Linked DNA regions of Macaca fascicularis. The protein of the gene in region 1 interacts with the protein of each later gene in a biochemical or structural test. Links are inferred from orthologs where the notes say so. Each region holds a gene or a part of one and is shown in the gene's direction. Other genes may lie near its edges. The genes, in order: TRIM72, INSR and UBE2H.

Region 1 (4,203 bases):
CTCACTGCAAGTTCCGCCTCCCGGGTTTATGCCATTCTCCTGCCTCAGCCTCCCGAGTAGCTGGGACTGCAGGCACCCGCCACTACACCCGGCTAGTTTTTTGTATTTTTTAGTAGAGAAGGGATTTCACTGTGTTAGCCAGGATGGTCTCGATCTCCTGACCTCGTGATCCACCCATCTCGGCCTCCCAAAGTGCTGGGATTACAGGCTTGAGCCACCGCGCCCGGCCAGTTTTGTATTTTTCTGAGACGAGGTTTCACCACGTTGGCCAGACTGGTCTCAAACTCCTGACCTCAAGTGTTCCACCCGCCTGGACCTCCCAAAATGCTGGGATTACAGGTGTGAGCCACCGCACCTGGCCCTTGCCAACTTTTTAATGGAGTTGTTTTCTGCTTGTTGAAATGTTTAGTTTCCTTATATAATCTGGATGGTAGATCTTTGTTGGATGCATAGTTTGTGAATATTTTCTTCCATTCTTCAGTTGTCTGTCTGTTGATAGTTGCTTTTGCTTTTGCTGTGAAGAAGCTCTTTAGTTTAATGAGGCCCCACTTAACAATTTTTGTTTTTGTTGCTTTTGAGGACTTAGTCACGAATAGTTTACCAAGGCTGATATCCAGAATGGTATTTCTCCTGGGGTTTCTTCTACAATTTTTATGGTTTGAAGTCTTACATTTAAGTCTTTAACCCATCTTGAGTTAATTTTTTTATATGGTGAAAGGCAGGGGTCCACTTTCATTCTCTTGCATATGTCTAGCCAGTTATCCCAGTGCCACTTAAATGAAATTTCAGCTGAGATTTGAAAGATACACATACAGGAACCAGGGCAGAATTGAGTTCTGGGCTGCAGGCTCTGGATTCAGTTCATTCATTTATTCAATCTCTCTCTGTCATTAATTCTCCAAGCATTTAGAGAGGCCTACTTTGCCCCAAGGCTTGTCCTGGGTGTACTAGAGAGACCAACTTGGAGAAGACCCTCCCCTCAGCTCTGGAGGAAGAAAACATTTCAGAGTGGGGTGAGGTCCTGCCCTCCTGCAGGTGGGATAATCCTGCCAGGGTGACCTTGGTCAGCCATAAACTTGGGGAATGAATGGGCAACAGGCTGGGGAGCGGCTGCCAGCAAGGAGGAAGGAGCTGGAGAGTGTGGAGGTGGGAGTTGGGGGAGAAAGGGGAGATCCCCCCTCAATTTTCTGTCTTTTCTGTGGTGAGAAAGGTCCTGTCTCCCCGCTGGCTCTGAGCTCTGGCTACAGGCTGGCTGGGGAGGGAACAGTGGATGGGCCAAGACAGGTGGCCCTGGCATGTGATGCGTGCACGGGGACTACTCAGCTCTCACTTTTAGAACGGTTTCCGGAAGTGATGGGAGGGATTGGGCAGGGCAGCTAAATATAGTCCTGGAGCCATGGCTCAGTCTGGGAGGGTCTTCCACTGAGCACTGTGTGCCCATCACGCGTGGTGTCCACTGCCAGCTTCCCCTGTGAGTCCCTGTCCTTGCTTGGAGCCTGCTGCTTGTCTCAGATCTTTGGACACAGCCCTGACCCCAGTCCAGCTCGGCTCGACCCTTACCGGTCCTCCTTCCAGTGTCTTTCAGCCTAAGATCTCCAACCAGACCTGTGAGTCCCGTGGGCTGGAAGGGGGGGAGGGGAGGGCTGGAGATCTTGGTAAAGTGGGGGAGGGGAGTCTCGAAGTGGGGGCTCTGGAGAATTTGGGGCCAGGGCTGAGGTCAGAGGCTGAAGCCTGGGGCTAAGGCGAGGGCAAGGACAGTGGGCTAGGACCTGGGCTTGTGTTCAGGAACTGGGGTTGACCAATAGAGCATATTTTTGGAGCTGGAGCTGAGAATTGCAGTGGAGGCTACTTTTGGACCTGAGACCGAGTTCCTCTTCCCCTTTGGCGGTCAGAGCCCCATCCAGTGTAGGATGGGAGGTCTTTACAGGCTGCGGCTTCTCCCTGCGGCGCGGCGGGCCCGGCCTGGGCCAGGGCTGGGCCGGGAGCACGGCGCCGTGGGTCCCCCTAACCGACTCCTCCTCCACCCAGGCCCGCCATGTCGGCTGCGCCCGGCCTCCTGCACCAGGAGCTGTCCTGCCCGCTGTGCCTGCAGCTGTTCGACGCGCCCGTGACAGCCGAGTGCGGCCACAGTTTCTGTCGCGCCTGCCTGGGCCGCGTGGCCGGGGAACCGGCGGCGGATGGCACCGTTCTCTGCCCCTGCTGTCAGGCCCCCACGCGGCCGCAGGCACTCAGCACCAACCTGCAGCTGGCGCGCCTGGTGGAGGGGCTGGCCCAGGTGCCGCAGGGCCACTGCGAGGAGCACCTGGACCCGCTGAGCATCTACTGTGAGCAGGACCGCGCGCTGGTGTGCGGAGTGTGCGCCTCACTCGGCTCGCACCGCGGTCATCGCCTGCTGCCCGCCGCCGAGGCCCACGCACGCCTCAAGGTGCGGGATCCGAGCGCATCGGGGTCGGAGGGGTTGTTCGGCGGCGCGGGGGCTGGCCGCTGGGGAGGTCGCTGTACTGATTTGGATTCTGAGTCTCTAAAGAGGACCTGGAGTTGCCGGGGTCGGGGGCGGGGCGAAGCAGCCAGGAAAGAGTGTCTGAGGAGCTGAAGGCGGGGCTGACAGAGGAAAGCCGCGCAGGGACGGAGACTGGCGAGAAGGGGGCTGAGCAAACCTAGGTTCCCGGCCTTAGCCTCTAGAGGGACCTGGAGATGGGAGGGCGGAGCCCCAGGGCTGGTCTGATGGGCGGGCCGGAACCAGGCGGAGCAGCGACTGACCAGCCCCTACGGCCCACGCGCTCATTCCTTCACCAGGTGGGCCGGTCGGGCAGGCTCCCTGCGCGGCGCTGGCCCACTTTGGAATGGAGGCGCGGCGTTCCGGGCCGAGCCAGGCGGCCGGGCCAGGGCTGTCCTGTGGTGCTCAGCGGAGGCCCACGCACCCCTGAAACTTCGGAACTTTGGCTGGCCTCACGGTCCCCAGGCGGGGCCTCACCAAAAGGGAGACTGGAAGGGCCAGGCAACCGGGATCTGCACTTGCGTGCGCGGACCCAGGGTGGCACCGAGAGCCCCGTCCAGGATGTTTTTCTGGGTGGAGCTGGAAGTCCCGAACGCCTTGGGAGCCCACACGTGGTTGTGTGCGTCCCGAGGTACTCAGCAGACACCCAGACAGAGGCAAATAGAGACCCACGCACACTGGCTAGTGCGTGCTATACGTGTGGCAAAAGCACACGCGTGTAGCTACCGGCGGGCACGTGTGCGCGCAGCCCCAGGAAAATCTGTCATGAATATTTATTGGGCAGTGGAAGAAGAAATGACAGGTGCAGGGGCTGGAGGAGGCGGGGTCTGGAGGCACGGAGGCGTCCTTGGTCCCCGAGGTGGAGACACTGCCGTCGTCTTACGCTACTGGTGCGCGCGCGGGGCTGGCTTCACAGGCGTTGCACTACTCCTTCCCTTGGCCTGCCTCCTAGAGGGGGTAGACTACCGTCCTTTCGTTGGTATTCGAGGCCCCCGGGCTTCCCAAGGACCCAGCCTCTCAGTCCCGCCAGCTCCTGCCTGGCCCAGTTCAGCCCAGGCCTAGCTGGTGGTCTCCTAGCTCAGGGCAGGAGCCTCCTCCCGGGAGCCCTCCCATCCCAGCACACCTGTGCTTAAGAAAGAAAAGAAAGAAATTCAAGATGAAGCTGGGGACTGTGCGACTGCGCGAGGGCTTTGAGCGCATTCCAACCTCGCCCAACCTTGCCCGTCTTTATCTGCGAAGAGAGCACGGAACCCATGAAACGGAACAGGGCCCAGGCAGCCCAGGAGCCTGGAAGGGGGCAGTGGGGCGAGATGCAGCCCACCGGGGTTCGCTGCAGCCCAGCCCTTCGCCGCCGGGAGGGGCTGGCCGGAGGTCTGAGGGAAGACCCCAGGAGGGACCCTGAAGGAGGAGGGGAACAGGAAGGCTCTGGGCGGGACCCGACGCCTGGGTCCTTGGCGAGGAAGCGGGGTTGGGTCCCTAGATCACGTACCAGCTCAGAGTGGCCCTCGCGCGGCCCGCGGCAGCTGTGCCGCCTCCTCCAGCATGCCCATGTCGAGCAGCACGGCCACGACGAACTCGACTGCGTAGTCCTCGTAGTAGGAGGCGACCAGCTGGTCGGTGAGGTCCACGATGTCTAGCTGCCTGAGTGCGCCCCGCGGGATACGCTCAAAGCCCTCGCGCAGTGGCACAGTCCCCAGTTTCATCTT
Region 2 (3,539 bases), on another chromosome or scaffold:
CAGGATAGTCTTGATTTCCTGACCTCGTGATCCTCCTGCCTCGGCCTCCCAAAGTGCTGGGATTACAGGTGTGAGCCACCACACTGGCTTTTTTTTTCTTTTTTATGAGATGGAGTCTTGCTCTGTCACCCAGGCTGGAGTGCAGTGACAGGATCTCGGCTCACTGAAACCTCCACCTCTCAGGTTCAAGCGATTGTCCCGCCTTAGTCTCCCAAGTAGCTGGGATTACAGGCGTGCGCCACCACACCCAGCTAATTTTTGTATTTTTAGTAGAGACGGAGTTTCACCGTGTTGGCCAGGATGGTCTCAAACTCCTGACCTCAAATGATCCACCCGTGTTGGCCTCCCAAAGCACTGGGATTACAGGCATGAGCCACTGTGCCTGGCCTGGGCAAGATTTTGGATGGGGACTGCCCCCCACCAGGCTGTAATTTAATTGCATGTATTGATAAACTCACTTCTTTAAAAGATATGTTTGTAGGACCGGGGGCCCCGCCTGTAATCTCAGTGCTTTGGAAGGCCAAGGTGTGAGGACTACTTGAGTCCAGGAGTTTGAGACCAGCCTAGGCAACATAGTGAGACTCCATCTCTATGAAAAATTTTTTTAAAAAGGGGTGTGGTGGTGCACATCTGTGGTCCCAGCTACTCAGGAGGCTGAGGCAGGAGAATTGCTTGAATCAGGGAGGTAGAGGTTGCAGTGAACCGAGATCGCGCCACCGCACTCCAGCCTGAAGGACAGAGTGAGACTCCATACTAAAAAAACAAAAGAAAAAGAAAGAAAAATGTAGCTGCTTTGTCATTTGGTACCTTCTTTTCCCTCCCTTTGAATAGTAGCCCATCTTCCCCCTTCACTTCCCCATGTGCACCCTCAGAATCCCTTCTTACTGGATTTGGCTACCGCCCAGGTGAGCGCACACCAGGGCCAGGTGAACCCCTCTTAGGGCTCCGTGAGAGGTGGGGCAGTCAAGATGGCAAATGGTAGGACCAAGGCTGGAGGTTGAGAGCGTGTGAATCGTTTGTGTTGTCAGACTTTGGAATGACCAGAGACATATATGAAACGGATTACTACCGGAAAGGAGGCAAGGGTCTGCTCCCTGTACGGTGGATGGCACCGGAGTCCCTGAAGGATGGGGTCTTTACCACTTCTTCTGACATGTGGTGAGTTGTGTGTGGAGGGGTGGACGGACGCTGGGCTTGAATTCCAGGTGCTAGTAACAGCCAAGAGCGGGGGAAGGAAGCCTGCCATCCTCCTGGACCCCCCATCAAGGAAAGGAAGGCAGCGTCCTGTCTGAGGACCTTCCCATGGCTACTCTTATGTCCTAATTAATCCTGTAGGCATTGTGAACCCCGAAAATCGGAGACAGGTCTCAGTTAATTTAGGAAGGTTATTTTGCCAAGGTTGAGGACACGTGCTCATGACACAGCCTCAGGAGATCCTGACCACATGTGCCCAAGGTGGTCGGGGCACAGCTTGGTTTTATACGTATATTTTAGGGAGACGTGAGACATCAATCAACATATGCAAGATGACCATTGGTTGGGTCTGGAAAGGCGGGACAACTCGAAGCGGGGAGGGGTCTTCCAGGTCATAGGTAGATAAGAGACAAATGGTTGCATTCTTTGAGTTTCTGATGAGCCTCTCCAAAGGAGCCAATCAGATATGAATGTTTCTCAGTGAGCAGAGGGGGGACTTTGAATAGAGTGGGAGGCAAGTTTGTTCAAGCAGTTCCCAGCTGGACTTTTTCCTTGAGTTTAGTGATTTGGGGGCCCCAAGATTGATTTTCCTTCCATAGCATTTATGGACCGCAGCATGAATTGTTTTATTAACTGGCCAACCATGTTCTCGCAAACCAAGAGATGTGTTTGCGTGTTTGTGTGTGTGTGTGTGCGTTTGTGTATTTGCATGTGTGTGAGCGTGTGTGTGTGTGTTTGTGTGTATGTGTATGTGTGTTTGTGTGTTTGTGTATTAAACGTGTGTGTGTGTGTGCATGCATGTGTTTGCATGTGTGCTAGTTTGCCTGTGTGCGTGTTCGTGTGTGTGTGTGAATTTGCATGTGTGTGTGCACGTGTGCGTGTATTTGCATGTGTGCACATGTGTGTGCATGTGTTTGGGTGTGTTTGCATGTGTGTGCACACGTGTGTTTGCCTGTTCGTGTGTATGTGTATGCATATGTGTGCGTGTTTGTGTATTAAATGTGTGTGCCTGTGTGCGTGTGTTTGCGTGCGTGTGTACATGTGTGTTTGCGTGTGTGCTAGTTTGCCTGTGTGCATGTGTGTTTGTGTTTGTGTGTATTTGCGTGTGTGTGCACGTGTGTTTGCGTGTGTTTGTGTATTTACATGTGTGCACACGTGTGTGTTTGCATGTGTGTGTGCTAGTTTGCCTGTGTGTGTTTGCCTGTGTGCGTGCATGCGTTTGCATATGTGTTTGCATGTGTGTGCTAGTTTGCCTGTGTGCGTGTTTGTGTGTGTGTTTTTGCGTGTGTGTGTGTGCATGTGCATGTGTTTGCATGTGTGTTTGCGTGTGTTGTGTGCTAGTTTACCTGTGTGCGTGTGTGTTTGTTTGCGTGTGTGTTTGCTTGTGTGTGAATGGTTTCTTTGTTACTACTCTCAACTGTCATTGACAGGTCCTTTGGCGTGGTCCTTTGGGAAATCACCAGCTTGGCAGAACAGCCTTACCAAGGCCTGTCTAATGAACAGGTGTTGAAATTTGTCATGGACGGAGGGTATCTGGATCAACCCGACAACTGTCCAGAGAGAGTGTAAGTGTAGAAAGGGTTTGAGGTGTGTGAGGTGTGCATTGAAAGGGTATTGCCCTTTACACGTGTGCTTGGTTTTGCCTTTCCTATGCCTACACGCTCACTGTGTTTGCATGCTATATGTTACAGGTGTGTTTGTGTTTGCATAGCTTGTCTTTACATGCGTGTTTGCATTTGCATATTGCATGGTGGTACACACACTTGAGTTTCCATATGTGCTACATGTATGCTTGTTTGCATATTATATATTTACATAGGTATTTATGTTTGCATACTGTATGTTTACATGTACATCAGCATATGGCACATGTACACCTTGTTTACGTATCTTTATAAGCACACGTGTTTACATATGTGCTTGTTTACATATTATGTCTTTACTGGCATGCTTGTGTTCGCAAATCGTAAGATTTTCTTGCATATTGTATAGTTGGAATGTTGCATAAGAAACCCGTAGCAGTAGTTATCTTGGGAGAAGGGAACTGGAGACCTGGGAATGGGGGAGCGAGACCTATGTTTGGCTGTTAATTATTTATACGCTGAAAATTTTGTCACGTGGCTGGGAATGGGTGGCTGTAATCCCAGCAATTTGGGAGACCGAGGCGAACAGATCACCTGAGGTCAGGAGTTCAAGACCAGCCTGGCCAACATGGTGAAACCCCATCTCTATTAGAAATACAAAAATTACCTGGGTGTGGTGGTGGGCACCTGTAATCCCAGCTACTCAGGAGGCTGAGGCAGGAGAATTGCTTGAATCTGGGAGGCAGAAGTTGCAGCGAGCAG
Region 3 (4,105 bases), on another chromosome or scaffold:
GGCTGAGGCAGGAGAATGGCGTAAACCCGGGAGGCGGAGCTTGCAGTGAGCTGAGATCCGGCCACTGCACTCCAGCTCGGGTGACAGAGCGAGACTCCGTCTCAAAAAAAAAAAAAAAAAAAAAAAAGAATCACCTGGGGACCTTGTTAAAACTGCAAATTCTCATTCAGTAGATCTGAAGTGAAGCTCTAGCGGCATTTCTAACAAGTTCCCAAGTGATGCTGACACTATAGACCCACAGACTATACTGGGGGGCTGTGTAAATTTAGTCTTCCTTTTCCTTTTTTTTTTTTTGGAGACAGAGTCTCACTCTGTCGCCCAGGCTGGAGTGCAGTGGCACGATCTTGGCTCACTGTAACCTCTGCCTCCTGGGTTCAAGCGATTCTCCTGCCTCAGTCTTGCGAGTAGTTGGGCCTACAGGCGCCCGCCACCACGCCCGGCTAATTTTTGTATTTTTAGTAGAAATGGGGTTTCACCACGTTGGCCAGGCTGGTTTTGAACTCCCGATCTCAGGTGATCCTCCTGCCTCGGCATCCCAAAGTGCTGGGATTACAGGCGTGAGCCACTGCGCCCGGCTAAATTTAGTCTTTCTTAGTTCACCATTATATCCTCATGTCCAGCAAGGTGATTAGCACATAGGAAGTGCTTAATAAATATTTATTGAATGAATGAAGTATTTAAGATTGGTGTAGGAGGTTCACACACTTTGCGAAGTTGCCTCATGCTCTGTAGAATAAGGATAGTAGTACTAAATTATTTCTGACCTTACCACATTGCTGTGTAAACTCTAATCTTTGAAATAGTGCCCGTAGACACGTGGATTGTGATGAACCCTGGTATTGAAGCCTGAAGAAGCCTTGCTGTGGTCTACAATCCTTGGAAACAAATTCTCTCCAGCCAAGGAGGGAGCGGAGTGCAAGGAACCTGCTGGTGTGGGAATTTCCAGATTTTGGTGCCTGAGTAATTGCTACCTTGGCCTCCTCCAAATCAAAGAAATTAACAGCTTGTTAAACAGAGTGTGTGTGGAGGTTCGTTAACCTAAAATCCACGCATTTAATAATATTGCCATTATTTACTATTATCGTTTAGGATGATGATAACGACACTGGCAGTTGAGCGATGAAGTAGGTGGGGAAGTTGGGGGAGGGGACAGAGGGTGTGAGACAGCCGGAGAAAGAGGAACTACAACTCCCAGAATGCACCGGGAAAGCCCACGCCGCAGCGGCGCCCCACCCCTCTCAGCGTCCAGGCCCGCCCCCTCCGATGACGTCACCTCTGTGACGTCACGGCGCCCAGAGCGAGGCTGGGGTAGGGAGGCCGACTGAGCAGGAGTCGTCCGCTTGTAGTGGAGGCTGCTAGGAGCCGGTCAGAGGGTGAGTGGGAAACAGGCGAGCGAGCCAGAGCAGGCAGGAGGGAGCGTCGCGCGGCGCAGAGGAGTGCCGGGGCCGGGCCGCGGCGGAACCACAGCCAGAGAGGGGCTGCCCGAGCCGGGCGCCGCGGGGTCCCCACCCCCACCCGGCCGGACAGTGCCCGGTGTTCCCCCGTGCGGGGGGCGGCGGCGGCGGCTGACGGGACCGCCGGGACCGCGGGGGTGTTGCCACCTCCACCGAGGAGCCGGCGCGGCCGCGGGCTCCTCAGAGCCGGGGCCCGGGGCCCGTGACAGACGGGCCGAGGAAGGGAGAGAGGCGGCGGCGGGGAGGCGGCGGCGACACCATGTCATCTCCCAGTCCGGGCAAGAGGCGGATGGACACGGACGTGGTCAAGCTGTATCCTTCGTGGAGGGGAATTCGGGATGTGTGTGGGGGGCGGTGTGGGGATGCCCAGGGCACCCCCGAAACCACTGCAAAGGCCTTGGGGCACTCCAGGCCACTGTCCGAGACTCCCCTCCTCCCCCAGTGCCTACGGCGGCTCCTTGGCACCTCCCAGGGGCCGAGAGCCTTTTCAGCTCGCCTTTTTCCCGCAGCACCCCGAAATACGCGTTGCTGCTCGCTCTTCCTGTATCCCCACAGCCCGTGACTTTCCTTCGCGACGTTTGGACTCCCAGACGGCCTTATTTCTTTTTGCAGGACCAGTCGCCTCACTCTCTACCACCGAGCCCATCTTCAGGGTTTCTCTCTCCTGTTTGCTCCCTCTGGATTGAGGGACTCAAGGCAGAAATTCCCGAGACGGAAGCCTTTCTCCCTTCCTTGAGATGCCCCCATTTCCTCCAACCACAATGCTGCTTGAACTGGGGTCATTCAAGCGACCTCTTTTATCCCTAATTCCTTTCTATATTAGGAAGAGAGTCGCCTGCTCAGGGCCCCCTCTTCTAAGAAAGAGCTCTGTGTGTTTTCAGTCAGTCCCTCCTGTTAAGCTTTCTGGTCCCCGGGAGAACCCTACTGTTTTCCTTTCCACTGACAAAGCCTGTCCCACCCATGGTTGTATGTGATGAAGACCCTTGGGCCCTCCAGCAAGCCACCCTCCATGTTGTGGGTATGACAGCCGGGGAAAGAGGAGCTCCTGGACAAAATAGTCCCTGGACTGGCCACTTGGGCAAAACTTCCTCTGTGAGGGTCAGCTTCTTGGGGGAATACTTGCCCTGATGTCGCCAAGTGACACCCTTTATTTTCTGCCCCCTCCCCCCAACTTTCTGCACTCTGGAGGCTGCAGTGGGAAAGCCATAACTGATAAGAGCCCTTCAGGCAGTGGTTTTGGTTGAAGTCCAGACTGATTATTTAAGGACCAGCTAGAGAAATTCGCGAAGGTTCCTGTGACAAATGGAGAATTTGTTTTTTGAAGGGTAATTTAGAGGGTGGGGGGAGCCCAGAGTTCTGAACAGCTAGTCCTTGGGGAGGGGGGAAAGTGGGGGCTTAGGGGGTGGTACTGTGGAACACAGTTTAAAAGTCCTGTCTCCTGTTTCTCTCCCTTCACCCCATCCCCCCACCGTTTCCCCCTGTTGCAGGGTTTTGTTTATATAACTCAAGTTGTTTGGCTAAATTCTTCAGGTGAATTCCTTTTTTCTTCCTTTTACTTGTTGCTGTTTTTGATTGTTTTACTTCTTTGTAGAGGTCAGTGATTATTGTCAAAAAATTCAGTTAGGGAATTTGCTGAAGTTTTAAAAAAGTAGTTTTTGCATATGGTTTGGCAATGGGGGATGGGAGGGAAGTTGTCTGGGCAAGATATTTTTAAAAAAATAATCTTTTCAGAAATAAGGTGTTTTTCTCCTTGCTCAGGGAAAACTTGGCTAGAAATTAGGAGCAGTAGATAGACTTCTAAGTTTGTGGTTTGGAGTTTAGAATTTTTTGGGGGTGGGAGATTAGAGCGGAGCAACTAATAAAGTATAGCGTACCTAATATATGTTCAGGCACAAGTGAAATCAACTCTTTATGAGCTGTTTGTGGCTGTGATTGTTTTGTAAATGTGTGAATGATACCAGTAATGTTGGCTTTTCATAAGGCTGCAGGAAAACTTGTAACTAACTGACTGTGTGTACATTTTAGACAAAGCAGTTTCAGGTTTTATTTTTGTTTAGAAACTAGGAAATGACATGGTGGCAGAATCTGATTTATTTTTATCTTGAATTGAGAGTTACTGTCACACCTAATGCGAATTTCTACCTAATGTTTAATTGGGATGGAGTGGGGAGATAGAATTCCAGCTGTTTGTGATCATTGTCAGAGTCTCAAATTATGTACATAGACATATTTTTAAAAGATTGAGGATAAAGAGGGGGGCCTAACTTGACCTGATGCCTTTTCCATACAGTGCCTTTTGTTCATTTAGTAGTTGTGGCATCTAGAATGATTACCGCATTTAGGAGTCGGGGTGTGGGGGGTGGAGAGGGAGAGGAAAACAGACAAAGAACAGCAGGGTGTCTTTTTTTTTCTCCCCCTAAGTGGCTTATTTCATAGCTTATTTTTAGTAGAAGATGAAGAAAGGCAAAGATGCATTGGCCTTCTGTTCTTTCCCCACCTTCCTTCCTTTCTGACAAAAGAAAGCAGGGGCGCTTTAAAATTGTAGATCTGAGATAGGAGGATAACAGTTTTAAGATTTAAAAGCCAGAGGTTATCTTTGTTTCGTGTTTATTTTCTGGTATAACGGAGTTTGGAAGTTAAAATGTTTCGGA

Evidence for each region.
Region 2: the proteins of TRIM72 (region 1) and INSR form a complex in vitro, tested with the Homo sapiens proteins (2 studies listed by BioGRID). The link is inferred for Macaca fascicularis from reciprocal best matches to the Homo sapiens genes TRIM72 and INSR.
Region 3: the proteins of TRIM72 (region 1) and UBE2H form a complex in vitro, tested with the Homo sapiens proteins (2 studies listed by BioGRID). The link is inferred for Macaca fascicularis from reciprocal best matches to the Homo sapiens genes TRIM72 and UBE2H.

Annotation. Positions count from the first base shown.
Region 1 is NC_088394.1:29,402,363-29,406,565, forward strand, and holds the start of TRIM72 (tripartite motif-containing protein 72), read left to right. Parts: upstream 1-1,403; 5' UTR 1,404-1,607; intron 1,608-2,028; 5' UTR 2,029-2,035; coding exon 2,036-2,425; intron 2,426-3,990; coding exon of another isoform or gene 3,991-4,203. Other genes in the region: PYDC1 (pyrin domain-containing protein 1), read right to left, coding at 3,991-4,203. UniProt on the Homo sapiens protein: Muscle-specific E3 ubiquitin-protein ligase that plays a central role in cell membrane repair by nucleating the assembly of the repair machinery at injury sites.
Region 2 is NC_088393.1:7,844,027-7,847,565, reverse strand, and holds part of INSR (insulin receptor), read left to right. Parts: intron 1-1,028; coding exon 1,029-1,158; intron 1,159-2,624; coding exon 2,625-2,759; intron 2,760-3,539. UniProt on the Homo sapiens protein: Receptor tyrosine kinase which mediates the pleiotropic actions of insulin.
Region 3 is NC_088377.1:171,449,760-171,453,864, reverse strand, and holds the start of UBE2H (ubiquitin-conjugating enzyme E2 H), read left to right. Parts: upstream 1-1,294; 5' UTR 1,295-1,713; coding exon 1,714-1,766; intron 1,767-2,696; exon of another isoform or gene 2,697-2,779; intron 2,780-2,941; exon of another isoform or gene 2,942-4,105. UniProt on the Homo sapiens protein: Accepts ubiquitin from the E1 complex and catalyzes its covalent attachment to other proteins. E2 ubiquitin conjugating enzyme that transfers ubiquitin to MAEA, a core component of the CTLH E3 ubiquitin-protein ligase complex.